Oreochromis niloticus: one gene and its partner. The protein of the gene in region 1 purifies or fractionates together with the protein of each later gene. This does not show direct contact. Links are inferred from orthologs where the notes say so. Each region holds a gene or a part of one and is shown on either strand. Other genes may lie near its edges.

What was found. Proteins that work in one complex are often made in the same cells at the same time.
Region 2: the proteins of polr2d (region 1) and rngtt purify together in Homo sapiens (affinity purification with mass spectrometry; 3 studies listed by BioGRID and IntAct, with this or other methods). This does not show direct contact. The link is inferred for Oreochromis niloticus from reciprocal best matches to the Homo sapiens genes POLR2D and RNGTT.

The regions. Positions count from the first base shown.
Region 1 is NC_031979.2:40,020,939-40,028,439, forward strand, and holds the start of polr2d (DNA-directed RNA polymerase II subunit RPB4), read right to left. Parts: upstream 3,007-7,501; 5' UTR 2,815-3,006; coding exon 2,736-2,814; intron 2,577-2,735; coding exon 2,396-2,576; intron 2,325-2,395; coding exon 2,229-2,324; intron 1-2,228. UniProt on the Homo sapiens protein: Core component of RNA polymerase II (Pol II), a DNA-dependent RNA polymerase which synthesizes mRNA precursors and many functional non-coding RNAs using the four ribonucleoside triphosphates as substrates.
Region 2 is NC_031980.2:14,941,469-14,949,264, forward strand, and holds the start of rngtt (mRNA-capping enzyme), read left to right. Parts: upstream 1-4,778; 5' UTR 4,779-5,141; coding exon 5,142-5,205; intron 5,206-5,709; exon of another isoform or gene 5,710-5,849; intron 5,850-7,632; coding exon 7,633-7,742; intron 7,743-7,796. Other genes in the region: interleukin-6 receptor subunit beta, read left to right, coding at 204-285, 2,413-2,823.

The DNA.
Region 1 (7,501 bases):
GACTCCGCGCTCAAACCAGCGTTCTTCCCTGTCCAGGATGTGTACATCCTCATCATTGAAAGAGTGTCCACTGGCCTGTAGGTGTAAATAGACTGCAGAGTCCTGGCCTGACGAGGAAGCTCTTCTGTTCTTTGATCAGTGGGTTTTGGTCAGTGATTGTTGATCAATGGTCATGGGAATTTGCATAATTATGATTAAGGAACTGACCTCACAGCCCATTGTTCCTTCAGTGGGCTGGTTTCAGTCATTATGCAAATGTACTGTTTATAAGGTTTGGGGAAACCTGCAGTCAGCTGAGACTGAAGAAGTCACTTGGATGAGTGACGAAACGTTTCTCCCACAAAACGCTACGTCCAGATGAACAGATTCAACTTTTGGAGATTTACTTTCCTGGATGATTGAGAATGCATCAAGAGTCCGACATTGTTTTGTCAAAGTTACACACCGATTCAATATTGATTTTAGTGACCTCCGATTGGCCTAAACGGGTGTCATTACTGCCGACGTGAATTATGATCTTACTTTATTTACGTTTACCTTTAGCCAGCAGTTTTAAATTTCCTTCAATGTCGCCTGCTCTGGCCCCTGGAAGACAATTGGTGTCGTAAGCCCCGCCTCTGTTCAAAGATGGTCGCTCACAGTGGACATAAATGGCTTCTTTCACTCCTCTTTCAAACCATCTGTTCTCTCTGTCCAAAATGTGAACATTGGCATTGAAATGGCGTGTCACAAATTTAGAGGATCATCATTTAGCCTGGAGAAATAGTTTGCTGCTTTATAAGAAAGCCCTCCGCAAAGCCAGAACATCTTACTATTCATCACTGATTGAAGAAAATAAGAACAACCCCAGGTTTCTCTTCAGCACTGTAGCCAGGCTGACAAACAGTCAGAGCTCTACTGAGCCAACAATCCCTTTAACATTAACTAGTAATGACTTCATGAACTTCTTCACAAATAAAATTTTTATCATTAGAGAAAAAATTACCAATAATCATCCCACAGATGTAATATTATCTACAGCTACTTTCAGTACCACTGATATTCATTTAGACTCTTTTTCTCCAATTGATCTTTCTGAGTTAACTTCAATAATTACTTCCTCCAAACCATCAACGTGTCTTTTAGACCCCATTCCTACAAAACTGCTCAAAGAAGTCCTGCCATTAATTAATGCTTCAATCTTAAATATGATCAACCTATCTCTAATAATCGGCTATGTACCACAGGCCTTCAAGGTGGCTGTAGTTAAACCTTTACTTAAAAAGCATCTCTAGACCCAGCAGTCTTAGCTAATTATAGGCCAATACTGACAGGGACTAGAAAGAGAGAGCAGATTTCTCCTGTTTTGGCTTCCCTTCATTGGCTTCCTGTTAAATCCAGAATTCAAAATCCTGCTCCTCACATACAAGGTCTTAAATAATCAGGCCCCATCTTATCTTAATGACCTTGTAGTACCATATCACCCTATTAGAGCACTTCGCTCTCGCTCTGCAGGCCTACTTGTTGTTCCTAGAGTATTTAAAAGTAGAATGGGAGGCAGAGCCTTCAGTTTTCAGGCCCCTCTTCTGTGGAACCAGCTTCCAGTTTGGATTCGGGAGACAGACACTATCTCTACTTTCAAGATTAGGCTTCAAACTTTCCTTTTTGCTAAAGCATATAGTTAGGGCTGGACCAGGTGACCCTGAATCCTCCCTTAGTTATGCTGCAATAGACGTAGGCTGCCGGGGATTCCCATGATGCATTGAGTTTTTCCTTTCCAGTCACCTTTCTCACTCACTATGTGTTAACAGACCTCTCTGCATCGAATCATATCTGTTATTAATCTCTGTCTCTCTTCCACAGCATGTCTTTATCCTGTCTTCCTTCTCTCACCCCAACCAATCACAGCAGATGGCCCCGCCCCTCCCTGAGCCTGGTTCTGCCGGAGGTTTCTTCCTGTTAAAAGGGAGTTTTTCCTTCCCACTGTCGCCAAAGTGCTTGCTCATAGGGGGTCATATGATTGTTGGGTTTTCTCTGTATGTATTATTGTAGGGTCTACCTTGTAGTATAAAGCGGATTTAGGCGACTGTTGTTGTGATTTGGAGCTGTATAAATAAAACTGAATTGAATTGAACCTGCCTGTGTGTTTAACTCAGCTAGTTATGAACTGTGGAGCAGCTCCTGTACCTCAACACTGCAGCTGTAACAAAGGCTTTTATTGTTCCTGCTGTGACGTGGATCGGACTTACCTGGGGATCAGGGCTTTGGCCTCCTCGGCGGCTTCTGGACACAGGTTGGCCAAACTGGCGAGCTCGAACTTGTGGAGCTTCTTCTGCAGCAGGAGGCTGAAGACAGAGAGATGACAGGGGTCAGAACTGGATTGCCTCGGACCTGGGCAGGGGCCGGGGGGGCGTACCTGCGCACGGCCGTGATGGTCTCGCGGTTCTTGAAGCGGCTGAAGCGGGCCGTGTAGTTGAGGGTCTTCATGAAGACCTCGGACAGCTCCTGCTCGTCCTCGGCGCTCTCGTTCTGCTGCTTCCTGTGCTCCAGCAACATGTGGACCTCGGAGTTCAGTAGCGTCTCCGCGTTCTCGAACTCTGAGGAGGAGGAGGGGGTTAACATCTGTCAATCACTCAGCACACAGGCTCAGAGAACCCACAGACAGCAGCTCGGTCTGTGTACCCACGTGCACCCACGGACCGCCTGCGCGTGTCGGTAGTTGTTCGAGAGTGCGTGCGCGCGCTGCAGGTACTCACCTTTAGGAAAGAGCAGCTGAGAAGCGTCCTCTTCAACATCACCAACATGCGGAGGAGCCGCGCCGCCTCCAGCCGCCATGTCGAGGAGCAGTCCCGGCTACAGGCCGGGGAGTGTGAAGCCGCCCGGAGGGTGAGACACAGGCGCCCGGTCAAGCCCGGCAGCCCGGTAACAAAGCGCAGGTCGGGGAGGAGGTCGGGGGGTAGAAAGCAGCTCCGCCGATCCGCACCGCAAGAAAACAGCGAGAGCTACTTCCGGGGCGCCCGCGGTCACTTCCGCTCTTTGTGGCGACATTAAAGAACATTATGAAAAACAGAAGGAGGGTGCAGTTTGTGCCAAAGATACGACAATATAAAAAAATAAATTACATAAAACTAGAGAATCAGATCGACAGTTCATTTTCCTGTCTGGCAGGAATCCTTTCAAAGTAACAGTCTCTGCTTGCAGCGCCCTCCTGCGGACGGGAGCGGCAGCGTCTCACTGAGTGTCAGAGAATCGTTTTAAGCAGTTTAAGGAAGATTCTTTTCTTTCATGAGCGCCGGGAGCCGCTGAAACCCGACAAGAAGAAACAGAACAACCGAAATCTGTCTCAGCGGTCGTAAAAGGGAGACTGCGTTGGCCGGGAATCGAACCCGGGTCAACTGCTTGGAAGGCAGCTATGCTAACCACTATACCACCAACGCCTGAAAGCAATGGTGCTGTACCACAATAAAACACACGCAGCATCAGCGACACTCAATATGGCGTAACGTGACGGCTGTGACCTCACGGCAGGGAGGTCCTGGGTATCAGAGAAACTCAGCAGAGGCTTCTCCAAGCACACCGGCCACAAAGTCAACAACCTAGTGTAGCTGTGCAGTACAGCGACGACAGCTCAGACCTGGAAAAACCAAACAGCCACTTCATAACATCAGTTATCAATTTTATTTCTATAGCACATTTAAAAGCAACAAAGTTGCCCAAAGTGCTTCACAAGTAGTTCATGAACAAGAGAAAATGGAAAAATAACACATGATATGAGGCAAAGGCAACATATTTAACATAAAAACAAAACAAACACAAAACAAACCTGATGGTGCTCAAACTGAACTTTGAGTTTCATCAAGCCAGCGTAAAAAAGTGAGTTTCAAGACGAGATTTGAAACACTGTATAGACCAGGGGTCTGCAACCTTTTACACCCAAAGAGCCACTTGGACCCGGTTTCCACGCAAAAGAAAACACTGGGAGCCGCAAATACTTTTTGACATCTAAAATGAAGATAACACTGTATATATTGTTTTTTACCTTTGTGCTTTGTGTGAACAACTAAGGTGTGTTGCTTATGAAATCCATGAAGTGCTACAGAGAAAATTACATTTTATTTACGTAATTAACACATTTTGAACTCTTAAAGAAATATAACAAAAGGAAAGACACCCAGCTGAACTAAAATGATCCATGTAGCAAACAAAAACTGTTGTCAGCCGCCACCCTTATATCTCCTTTGGGCTGTTGGAGCCTTGACCTGACTCTTAAAAAATAATTGGAAAAAAGCACTATGCTGCTGAAAAATGAAAAATAGATATTTGCAAAATTCTGCCTAAATATGTATTTTACCTGGTTAACGCGTGCGGCGGGGCGTGGTTTGCAGCGCCGCTGCAGGGGAGGCGGACGCACCTGAGCGACACCCGCAATCACGCCTCGCCGCCTTTACGTCTGCGCTATCTGTGCTGTTGTGTTGTTGGTGGTGTATGTTGGGCTGTGAGCTGAAAGGCTACAGCCGGCTGTATGCGTACAGCAACCGTGTGTGAAAAGTGCTCAATAAAGAGATGCTCAAAAGCGTGTTCATGGAAACATCGTCGGGTCTGCCGTGATATGTTTACAATGGGACTTTGCTCCTGAACCTCTGTGCACAGAGTCCGCAAATCGGGGATATACGAAGTCAGTTTACTCACGGTGTTTGTCTTTATCATAGTTCACGGTGGAGAACAGCTGCTGACATAATGTGTATCCGAAGATCCGTAGGGTTGAAAGTCTCGATAAATGCACGGCGTTTCGGCGGGTATACCGGCTTCCGCGAGTGTGACTCTTATTTTGAGCGATGAAAAAAATAATAGAATATAATTTTATTTTTATATTTCAAAATCACAACAATCTTCCAATTTAGAACTACGAGTTAAAAAGAACTAACATAAATAAAATACACTTCAGCTAAATACTTCTAATTTATTTTCCCAAACCACGCGGAGCCGCAGTATAAGGACTAAAGAGCCGCATGCGGCTCCGGAGCCGCGGGTTGCCGACCCCTGGTATAGACTCTGAAGTACGAATATCAAGTGGCAAGTGATTCCCAGTGTTGGGAAGGGTACATTTAAATGTATTTCACTACAGATTGCAGAATACATGCCCCAAAATGTATTTTGTAACATATTTGTAACTGAATACTTTGGATTACTTAATCTATTGTCATAATTTTTACAACTACATGAATGTCCTATTGCTGTGTGACTTATTACTATTACTGAAGGTTACTCGCCATACCAATACCAACTAGATTTTTAAATCTTAATATAAAATGAGTAAAAGTAGGGTGGACATTAGGTAAGGCTGCACTTTTTGCAGCGATCTCGTACAGAAAACTATTTCTGTATCAGTAATATGTTTTCTTTCTGTCTGTTAATAATCATGTGGAACTGCACATGATTATTTGCAACTAGCAGGTTGTTAATGCTATCCATCAAGTCTAAAAACAGCATGTTAATACGTGGAGATCCTGAAAGCTGCTCCAAAAAGGATCAGATTATATTTGAAATATTTGTTCAATTCTCCTCCAAACCCCAGCAGCTGTCTGCTGTAAGTTTTGACTGTTTACTAAAATAATAATAAAAGTGTTCCAACATCTCACTGGTTTTGTTCAGGCATACATGTGTACCGTGTTTATTAAAAGAGATGAAGCTTGCGTTTCTGTCATGTAGTGATTATGCTTAGCTGTATGACGCTTATTAGACATGAAACAGATGATACATAAAAGTGAATTTTGCCAAAGTGCTTAAGATTCTTTTTTAAATTATCTTTTTTTCTTAACGAAATCTACGACATCATGTGTAATTTTTTAATGTCATGTGTAATTTCCATTGCAAATATTAATCACAGTTAAATTAAGAGGGGATGGAGCTGTGATGTCATCACGTACACTGCCGTTACAATTGTAGAACGATTGCGCTACATTCTCGGGAAGTCCGAACTCCCGTGTGAACTTAGGTCTGGACTAGTGAAAGTATTTAGAAACAGTCTAACAGTCTGCAGTCTATGAACTAACCTCAGCTAACACCAGCTAACAATGTTAGCTGTGTTGAGTATCCTTCATTAATAGTAATAAAAATCACACAGCAATAGCACATTGAAGATAATGAAGTTTCCCATTCTACTTTCTACTATTCCCATTCGGAATTTCCAAGTAAGAAATGCATTGTGAAGGCCCGATCTCCTCTATGCTTCAGTCGAGACCTCGGCTGTACTAAGAGCATCTGGCTGGACCATCTCGGTGCTCTTTTGGGGTTTTATATGTTGAGGAGTTTCCTTAAAGCATTTAACACTTTGAGAGTAAGTAAAAGACTCATGAAATCAATTTAGATGCAGCTGTTCATCTGCATCCAAAGTTCAAAGGTCACTCTCTGAGAATGCCAGTGTTCACATTGTGGACAGAGAAAACAGTTTGAAAGAGGAGTGAACGAAGCATCTATGTCCACTGTGAGCGACCATCTTTGAACAGAGGGTGGGGCTTACCACACCAACTGTCTGCCATCTATAATCCGGTCGTTTTAACGCCCACTCACACCTTGGGTCAGTTGATTTCAGTAGGTCACATGATGGGGGTCAGGGTCTTTGAGTGGTTTCACCTGCTGATGATGACACACACCCTTTTCACACCTTGGGTCATGTGATGAGCAGTGTTGGTCAAGTTACTTGAAAATACTAATTAGTTACTAATTACTGATCACTTCTCTAAGAAAGTAATCCCATTACTTATGTGTAATAAAGCAACAGACCTTTCAGCCCAATTCTATTTTTTCTCCATAAACCATCATATAAAACTGAATCAAATGAAAAAGTCTCTTTTTAAAACTTGTTTCATTAGTTTTAATCTTTTAACTTTTTGCATCAAGCAAAAATTAAATTATATGCAACAGTCTTTGACTTGAAGAAATATGTTTAACATTTAAACATATTGTCTGCATATTCCAGCATATAAACTAAAATCATGTTTTGTGTTTACACTCACTCTTTCAAATAGATGCAAGTAAAACACAGCAGAAAATAAATAAAATCAAAGATTCAGCAGCACTTAAATCTATTGTCACCTGTTTAGCAGCAATGGGGCGGGTGGAGGTTTGCCCACAGCGGTCATTCAAGATTCAAGATTCAAAGATTCAAAGTGCTTATTGTCATGTGTATAGAAGAAAAAGCATTTCTCCCTGCAATGAAAACCCTCCTTTGCTGTCCATACACAAATGTATGGAAGGTAAGAGTTGGAGGAACAAGATAAATAAGGATAAAAAATAGTGAAAGATAAATAAATAAGTACAAAAATAAGTCAATGAAGATAAGTGAGGTATGCAGTTGTCAATGTAAATGGATGTACAAAGGAGCTTAATGTACAAAATGAACTTAGTGTGAAAATTATCCTGATGTGTAAATTGCATTTGAGGTAGGTCAGCTGTTCAGGAGTCTGATAGCAGTGGGGAAGAAGGAGTGATCATGTCAGTGGGAGGATCCGGGGGTTTCTTT
Region 2 (7,796 bases), on another chromosome or scaffold:
GTCTCTTTTTGTTATTGATGATTTGTTATGAGCTCCTTTTAAAAGCAAACACTGAACCAAGAACATTTCCAGCCCATTAATAGTGGAAGACAGGCTCTGATGTGTTAAGACACTGTGGTCATGTTGTGATTAAATTTTTGGCACCGTACACTTCTCCAGATTTCTTTCTGACGATGTGTTAATGATGTGTGTTATTTGTTCAGATGGAAGAAATTCCAGGAGAAGCCCGTGCCAAATCCAGCTCTCAGCTCTGTGGGTGTTTGGGCATCGCAAAGCCAACAAAAGGTGACGAGGATGTCATGGCCGTCGATTTATGATGATGAACTTTGCGGGATGGGGCGGTGATATTTTCACATGTAGTTTAGGTTTTTGAGTTATTGTTTCCTCTTCTCATTTTTACTTTGTTTGTTTGTTTTCTCGTTTGTCTTCTTTTAGTTTTTCAGATTGTTTTTTTGTCCCCACCATCTGTTTTGTTTATGTGCACATCTGTCTTGTTTTTCTCCCGTTTCTAGTCCCAAATCACTCCTTGGTGTATAAATAGTCCAGTCCTTGTGTCTGTTCACATGTGTTTTCTACATTTTCTTTGTGCTCACGCGTCTCTGCTTGTTTTTAACTTCATGTGTGTTATTATCTGAGGCTGTCCAGTGGGATACATTATATCTGCATTAATGTTGCTCAAGAAGTCACATGATTAAATTGTAGGTTTTTCATTGTCAGGAGAAAAAAAAGGTAGAAATACATCAGTGTGCTTTCTTGAATTGTAGAGAAGCTGAATGTTATTCTGTATTTCTGCTAAAGTGACTACTCAGTAATTTACTTCTGTTTTACCTTGTCGCGTGTGTCAACAAACTGAGTAAAAGCTGTTTAAGATGTTTTTTCTTGATCATTGCACATTTACCTCAATTTTCTGAGATCTGAAAGAAAGATTCTGTGATTTAATCAAAAAGTTAACTACCAAAATCTGGCAGTCGGATTAATAAAAAATGAAAATAATTGGTATTTTCAGTTCTCCTGAAAGTGGTTTTATGAATGTCATCTTAAACAGTTTCCCTCCAGACTTCCTGAGGCCTATATTATAAAGGAAGTTCAACACAACCAGGCTTTCTTTGCCTTAGCTGGCTTGACAAAACATAAAACCCCAGTTGGAAATAAGCACTATTATGATCAGTTTTATTAAAAACTATAAAAATTAGTATCCCACGGAGACACAAAAATCCCTTTAGTTTGTCATAAATTAGTATTATGAAATTACTTTGACTGAACAAGTATTTTTGGTGTGTTCTGTATTTTTGTAGTCACAGTTCTAGCAGTGAAGACAGATTAGGCTCAAGTATAAAAATATGCATATATTATCTGTATTACCAAATCCATATATGCATGTTTACAATGCACTGATGGTGCGATACATAGTGTGCCTCGCTGTAACTTTAGAGCTGAGCTTAGCTTTACCTCTAGGGGCAGATGGCCTCACATTTGACTCTACTCAGTGACCCCAAGGTGACTGTAAAATTAGCCCACATTAATATTTGTGCTGATATGCTATGTTTGCATAACTGCAGAGAGCTCTAATATGTTCTGATAGCACTTCGGGCTCGAATATAGTCATGCACTGAAATACAGTCAAATGACATTGAGCAACATTTAGTAAGTGCGATGTCTGAAAATTCCTCAACTACTCGCACTGATAATCTCCAAAATCACTCTTACTGGGTTGACTGATATCGCAGGTCCATGAGTAAACTGTCTTATGAGTTTGCTCCATATCTTCAGTTTTCGTTTTCTGTAATTTGTCAGATTACAACTGAAAAATCTGATCTAAAAATCAAATGTAAAATTTGGTGGTATTCGAGCTTCAGCGATTAAAACAATTCAAGTTGGAGGATTTTAAATGACTCTTTTCTCCCCTCATGTTTTTTTTATGATAGCTATCACGGTCCAGATTCAAAAGCATTCATGTGCTGCTCTTTATTTACCTGTTGCCATGGGGAATCCTGGTATCAGAGCTTCACCGATGATCGCTATCCTCCTTCACGCATGCATTCTTAACTCAGGGTGAACATAATCAGGGCTGTTTCAACTCTCTAAGTTTATCGCAACTCAGAGTTTATGCTAAGTTCCCGAGTTTGTTGAACCTGCTTTCTGGAACGGCACACTGGTTTTTACAGATGTTTTTTGTCCTAGTTTGAAGTTTCTGTCATGAACTCATTTATGTGTCCATGCACTGTGACTCCTTTAACATCTTCCCTCTTCCAGAGGTCCTCTATCCTGAGTTATCATGTCTATGTAGGGTTTAGCTTTCACTGGCTACAGAAACAATCCATGCCCGAGTCTTGATAATATATAAAAGCTGCTGTAATTCATCCTAGCTTTTTGTTTTACGGCTCCCTTCTGTCTGTGTGTTTGTATCCATAGGGAATCTGCTTCCAGCCATTCAGAAATCCATCTGAAAGCCACTGTGATACAGTATACCCAGAGAAAGCGCAGAGCACATCTACCCCTTCACCAGTTATAGGCTATGATACTCACACAGCCAGTGAATACATTGTGGACTACGCAAACTCAGGAATGACTCTTGGTCTTTATACGGAGGATGAAAGTCCAGTTGAACCTGCAAAGACTCCTCCCTCTCCTGGAGAATCCACAGCATTAATTTCCTCAGAGAGCAGCACAGCCAACCCCTATCGAAGTCAGAGTTCTGTGGAGAGTCCTGTCCCAGAGACTGCTAAACAGAGTAAGCATGTGCCAGTAAAACAGCAAGAAAGGGCATTACTTAAGACCATATATGTCACATTAGACATGATTGAACAAGATCATAACAGGTGAGAGCAGTGAAAGTAAATGATGCAGATAGATTTGCAGTCAGTCAGCTGTAACAGAAATAGATATGGTTTGATATGACTGTGTTTGTGTCATTAAGTTGCCTAGCACTGTGGAACAACAGGATACAAACATATATGACTGTTTTTGTGTACGTAGTAACTGCTTTATTAGGTCATCTTAATGTATTCAGCCGTGCAGCAAGAATAGGTTTCATTTAATGTGAAGTGATGAAAAGATTTAAGGATATGAGTTATCAACACTGATAATATGATATAGTGTTCCCAGGATTTAGCATTCTAGACATGCTTTGCTATGACACTGATCCTGGTTTTATGTATAGTCTGTATTATAGTATTGTGATATTTTGTTGTAAATATTTTAGCCATGTATTATATGCTTGATGTTTGTTGAGGTGTGACTCACTGCATTTTTTTTTTGCTTTACTGCTTTGTGTCATTTGTAAACTGGAGCAGTCATTAAAATGTAAATTTTGTTATTGTGTTGATAAATATTCACGCAGAAGCGTCATAAGGACTGTCATATGTCTCGTAAACAGACAAAAACAAAAGAGTATGAAATAAAGTGAATAAATGTTGTACTTGACACCCTTTTTTGTTATTTGATGACAAAATGTTTGAAGTATTCTGCATGTAATCATATATTAGTGTGAGCAAGGCTTTGTAATGTGCATGGCACTGAGTGTAATTGGAGAAACCACAGTACACGTTCATACGGAAGGGAGCCAGCTCACTTTTATTTTCCACTAATGCACTGTTAGACTGGTGAAAGGGAAAAAATGTGTTAATATTTCAAGCTAAATTATGCACACATACACCAGTGTTCTATGGTGTTGTGTGGTGTACACTCACCTCCTGCATGAATTTGGCATAAACAACAGGATTGGATCTATCCTGTCTTGTATCAGTGGTGCAGGCTGCTGCTGCTGACGTAATGGTTATGGGGGACACTTTTTCGGCACGATATCACAAAGCTGAGATCATCTCAAACTTATTTCTTCAACATGACAGTGAGTTCCCTGCATTCAAATGGCCTCAACAATCATCAGAACTTAATCCAAAAGAGCAGCTTTGGGAGGTGGTGTTACAGGGGATTTCCATCATTGACGCGGTTGGCAAATTTGCACCAGCTGTGTGATGACATCATGTCAATATGAACCAAAATCTCAGAGGGATGTTTCCAGCACTTTGTTGAGTCTATGCCATAAATAATTAAGGTATCTCTGGATGTAAAAAGGGAGTCCAATCCACTACTTCATTTGGATTTCAATCTCTGTTTATTGTACTGCATACTTCTCACTTGATCTGGTTGGTGTAAAGAAATCTCCTGAAGTTGCCAATAAACTTTTGAAAACCTTTAAACAGAGCCACAAGACATGAGACAACATGCAATAAAATAAATACTAGAGATACAGGATATATGTATTTTTTAAGCCAAGTAATATCTGCCCCACAGCTAAAAGAGATAATCAATCAAAGACATGTAAAACTGTCAAAATATATTAAAAGAAAGGTATGAAATATAAAGACAGAAAGAAACAATTACACATTTTTGTGTATTGTCAACAGGTGGGGGAAATAAAAAAGAACTATAGGTCTACATAACGAGGAGAGAGGAGCTAAACACATATAGAATAGAATAGAATAGAATAGAATAGAATAGAATAGAATAACCACTTTATTGTCCTTCAGAATATAAACCAGTTAGAATCAGAGTTAAATTTTGGAGCATTTACTCACCATCGAACTGTAGAATATAAATAACAAATAAATTAAAAATTTAAAGCAGTGTTGACAAATAAATAAAATAATAAGGTAAGAACGTTTGTGGGGGGTTTTGTGTTTTTTTTCTTCTTTGTAAATAAATGAATAAATGAACTAGCTTTCAAGCTGCTGCAGCAACCATTTCAGTCCAAAGGGTGGCGATAATGCACAGATACGATTTGCCGCCGTAGAAAAATACCAGTAGAAGAAGAAGAAGGATCACTGAGGTGTTGCTAGCTGATTGCTAAAAACCTAGATTTATGGTAGACAAATGAAAAAGATAGCTGAATTTCTTCAGAGGCTGATCTGCAGTGGATCGGAACAGCCTGCGTTTCGTGTAAAATGCCTCCTGGTCTGTCAGAAGGTTAACCGGGCTTAAACGTGCTTGGTGATTCTCCTGAATTAGGAGCTAAAGGGCCCTGAGTCCGCAGTGCTCGGGTGAATATCTACCCAGCATCTGCTGTAGGGGGAGAGAGGCAGCATCAAGCAACGGGGTTATTGATATTACAAGCTTTTAGATATTACCAACCTCAACTCAACATGTCAAATAACGGACCTCCTCCTCGATGGCGCAATTGTCCTAGAAGAGGGCAACCTGTGGCAGGTTAGTGTAAATTTAACCAAAAGTGTTTTATTTACCAGATGAAGCTATTGCTACTAGTTAGCTTCGTGCACTGGTGTTGCTGTGATGCTTGTTGCCTGATATATATCACTTATTTATTATTTTAGACTGTCAGATTTAAGTAGCAGTAATGGGCTGTCTTGGTTCACGTTCGGTCTTTAAGTACAGACAGATTACCACATATTTAAGCTCTGTTTCTCTGTTGTAAAAATGAATACTTTATCTTTTAAATGAGGTGTAAATCAAAGCGCCGATTTCATTGAATGACGTCAACAAATTTTTTAAGCTTGATTTAGTTAAAAAGGTTTGTTCATTTAGTATTTATATGAAATTAACTTAATTTTGGCATTTTTTTAATGAAAATTTCTCTGACACTGTATTCGTGCGCGCTCTTTTTGCTAGGTCGCTAACGGTAACTATTTAGCAACGTTTTCCGCTTCTTTTCAGCTTTTAGTGTGACTTTAATGTTGAACAAACACCAAGTATGGGAGTCTATTAGTTTTAAAAGAAAACGTTTTAAAAAGAGCTTCAGAAAAGTGCTGCTAAGTGGGTATGCTTCACCGTCAAAGAATCACGTGTCCAAACAAACCGGGGCTATGGCTTGAGGAGCTCACGGCGAGCATACTGTATGTGTGTGACACGTTACTAGTGCTGAGAGGCGTTTAGCATGAGAAGCATTTTTTTTTAATGTATTTGAATGCCACCTTTCTTTCTCTTTTGTTTTTTATAATCTATAAACTCTTAACTGTTATTCCAATTGCTGTTTTTGTCTGATAATACTATGATTTCCAGTAGGTATTTTGGAATTATTCTGGTATAGTCTTTGTATTCTTCTGCTATCTGTACCTGAGCTGTGGTAACGCACAAATTTCCCCGCCGTGGGATCAATAAACTCTTATCTTATCTTATCTTATCTTTATCTTTATCTTATCTTATCTTATCTTATCTTAGGTATGCACCCATCAGCTGCTACATCTGTGTTTGAGCTTCAGGTTTCTTTTAAGATCCAAAATAACTGAGAAAAAAAATGAACCAAAGTATCGGAGAATTCACTTTCCACCAGTTTCATACAGTTATTAGACGTTTTAACTGACTGTAGCTGGATTTAATTTTAGTTGTGACTGTTTCTATCATATTGCGCAAAAATCTGTGTAGCTTGTAAGTCTGTGGTCACTTGATGTTTTCTGTGAAAGACTTGTTAACCTGCAAGAGACGGACAATGACGTTCTTTCTTTGACCTCCGAATCTTTCATTAAAAGCCAGACTTTAGAAAAGTGTCTGATTTGTAGTGTTGCCTTTGTAAAACCTAAGCCAATCAAAAAAGGTGGATCAAGAGCATGAGGGACAGAAATGCTGTACAGCTGGGGTATCTTTAAAACTACTTCCCAGCTTCTTTTCCTTGACATTGATGAAAATGTCATTGAGGTTAAGGAAAGGAGCTGTTTCTTGGAGTGTAGTGTCTTGGAGCAAAGACAGACAGGTGGACAACTGTACTTCATAGCTAGAAGTGTACCAGTGTTTTCTGGGACTGGTCAGTGATAGACAGCCTGAGTATATCCTAAATAATTCAGTGGTCAGTAACAGACTTTGGGAATGTGTGCAATTTTTTCTACATTATGTTCTGTATTAATAGTGCAGCTGACTGATGTGACAGGCTTGAAAGGGTAGATGTAGATAAAACTGTGTTGATACGAATGGCAGTATGGACTGTGGATATAGATCTGTTCCTATATTTATTCCTTATTGCAATGTACAACTGTCAATATAACAGCTCAACATAAGTAGAAGGAAATTATAAGGTCAAAAGTAGACAGTGCAAGTGGATTGATCCAAGTTCCCATGCTTAAGTGATGCAAGGCTGTCTTGTTAACACTTTATACAAAAGTATTGATGTTACGGTTTTATTTTGCCCATTCATCATTGTTATCATTACAGTTATGTGATGTTAAGACATTTCTGTAAGACCTGCAATTGCAGGCTTGTCTCCTCTCCGCCTCAACTTTATAACAGTGCAACAGCTTACACAGATGCTCTGTTTGAAGGCACAGCTGGAGTTGGTGGCACTTTTATTCCAGGCTTTTATTCTAAGAAATTCAGTGTAGTTTACACAAATGGATCCACAGTTTTATTGGCTATTAACCAAGTTCTTTACAAAACAAATGCACTTGGGGTGCTGTCTAATGCTTAATTGAATGTGACCTTGACAAATACTTAGTCAGTGATTTGATTTTTTTATTGATTTTTCTGAATTTGTAGATTTGACTTGGTATGAAGTTAGACTCTTAGCCGTAACCCTAAAAATTAGTCATTAAATTAGGGACAAAGCCGCTGTCCCTGCTCATACAAGATAGTTTCAATGCTAGAATACTATAGGATTTTTGTTTCATTCATTACATTTCTCCTTCCTAGGTAAATTCCTGCCAATGAAAACGATGTTAGGTCCCAGATATGATGACCAAGTTGCAGAGGAGAACAGATTTAATCCGAGCATGCTGTCCAACTATTTAAAAAGTCTAAAGGTAAGTACCCTCAGCAAGGACTGAAGTATTAAAGTGGCACACAAAACCTTCCCT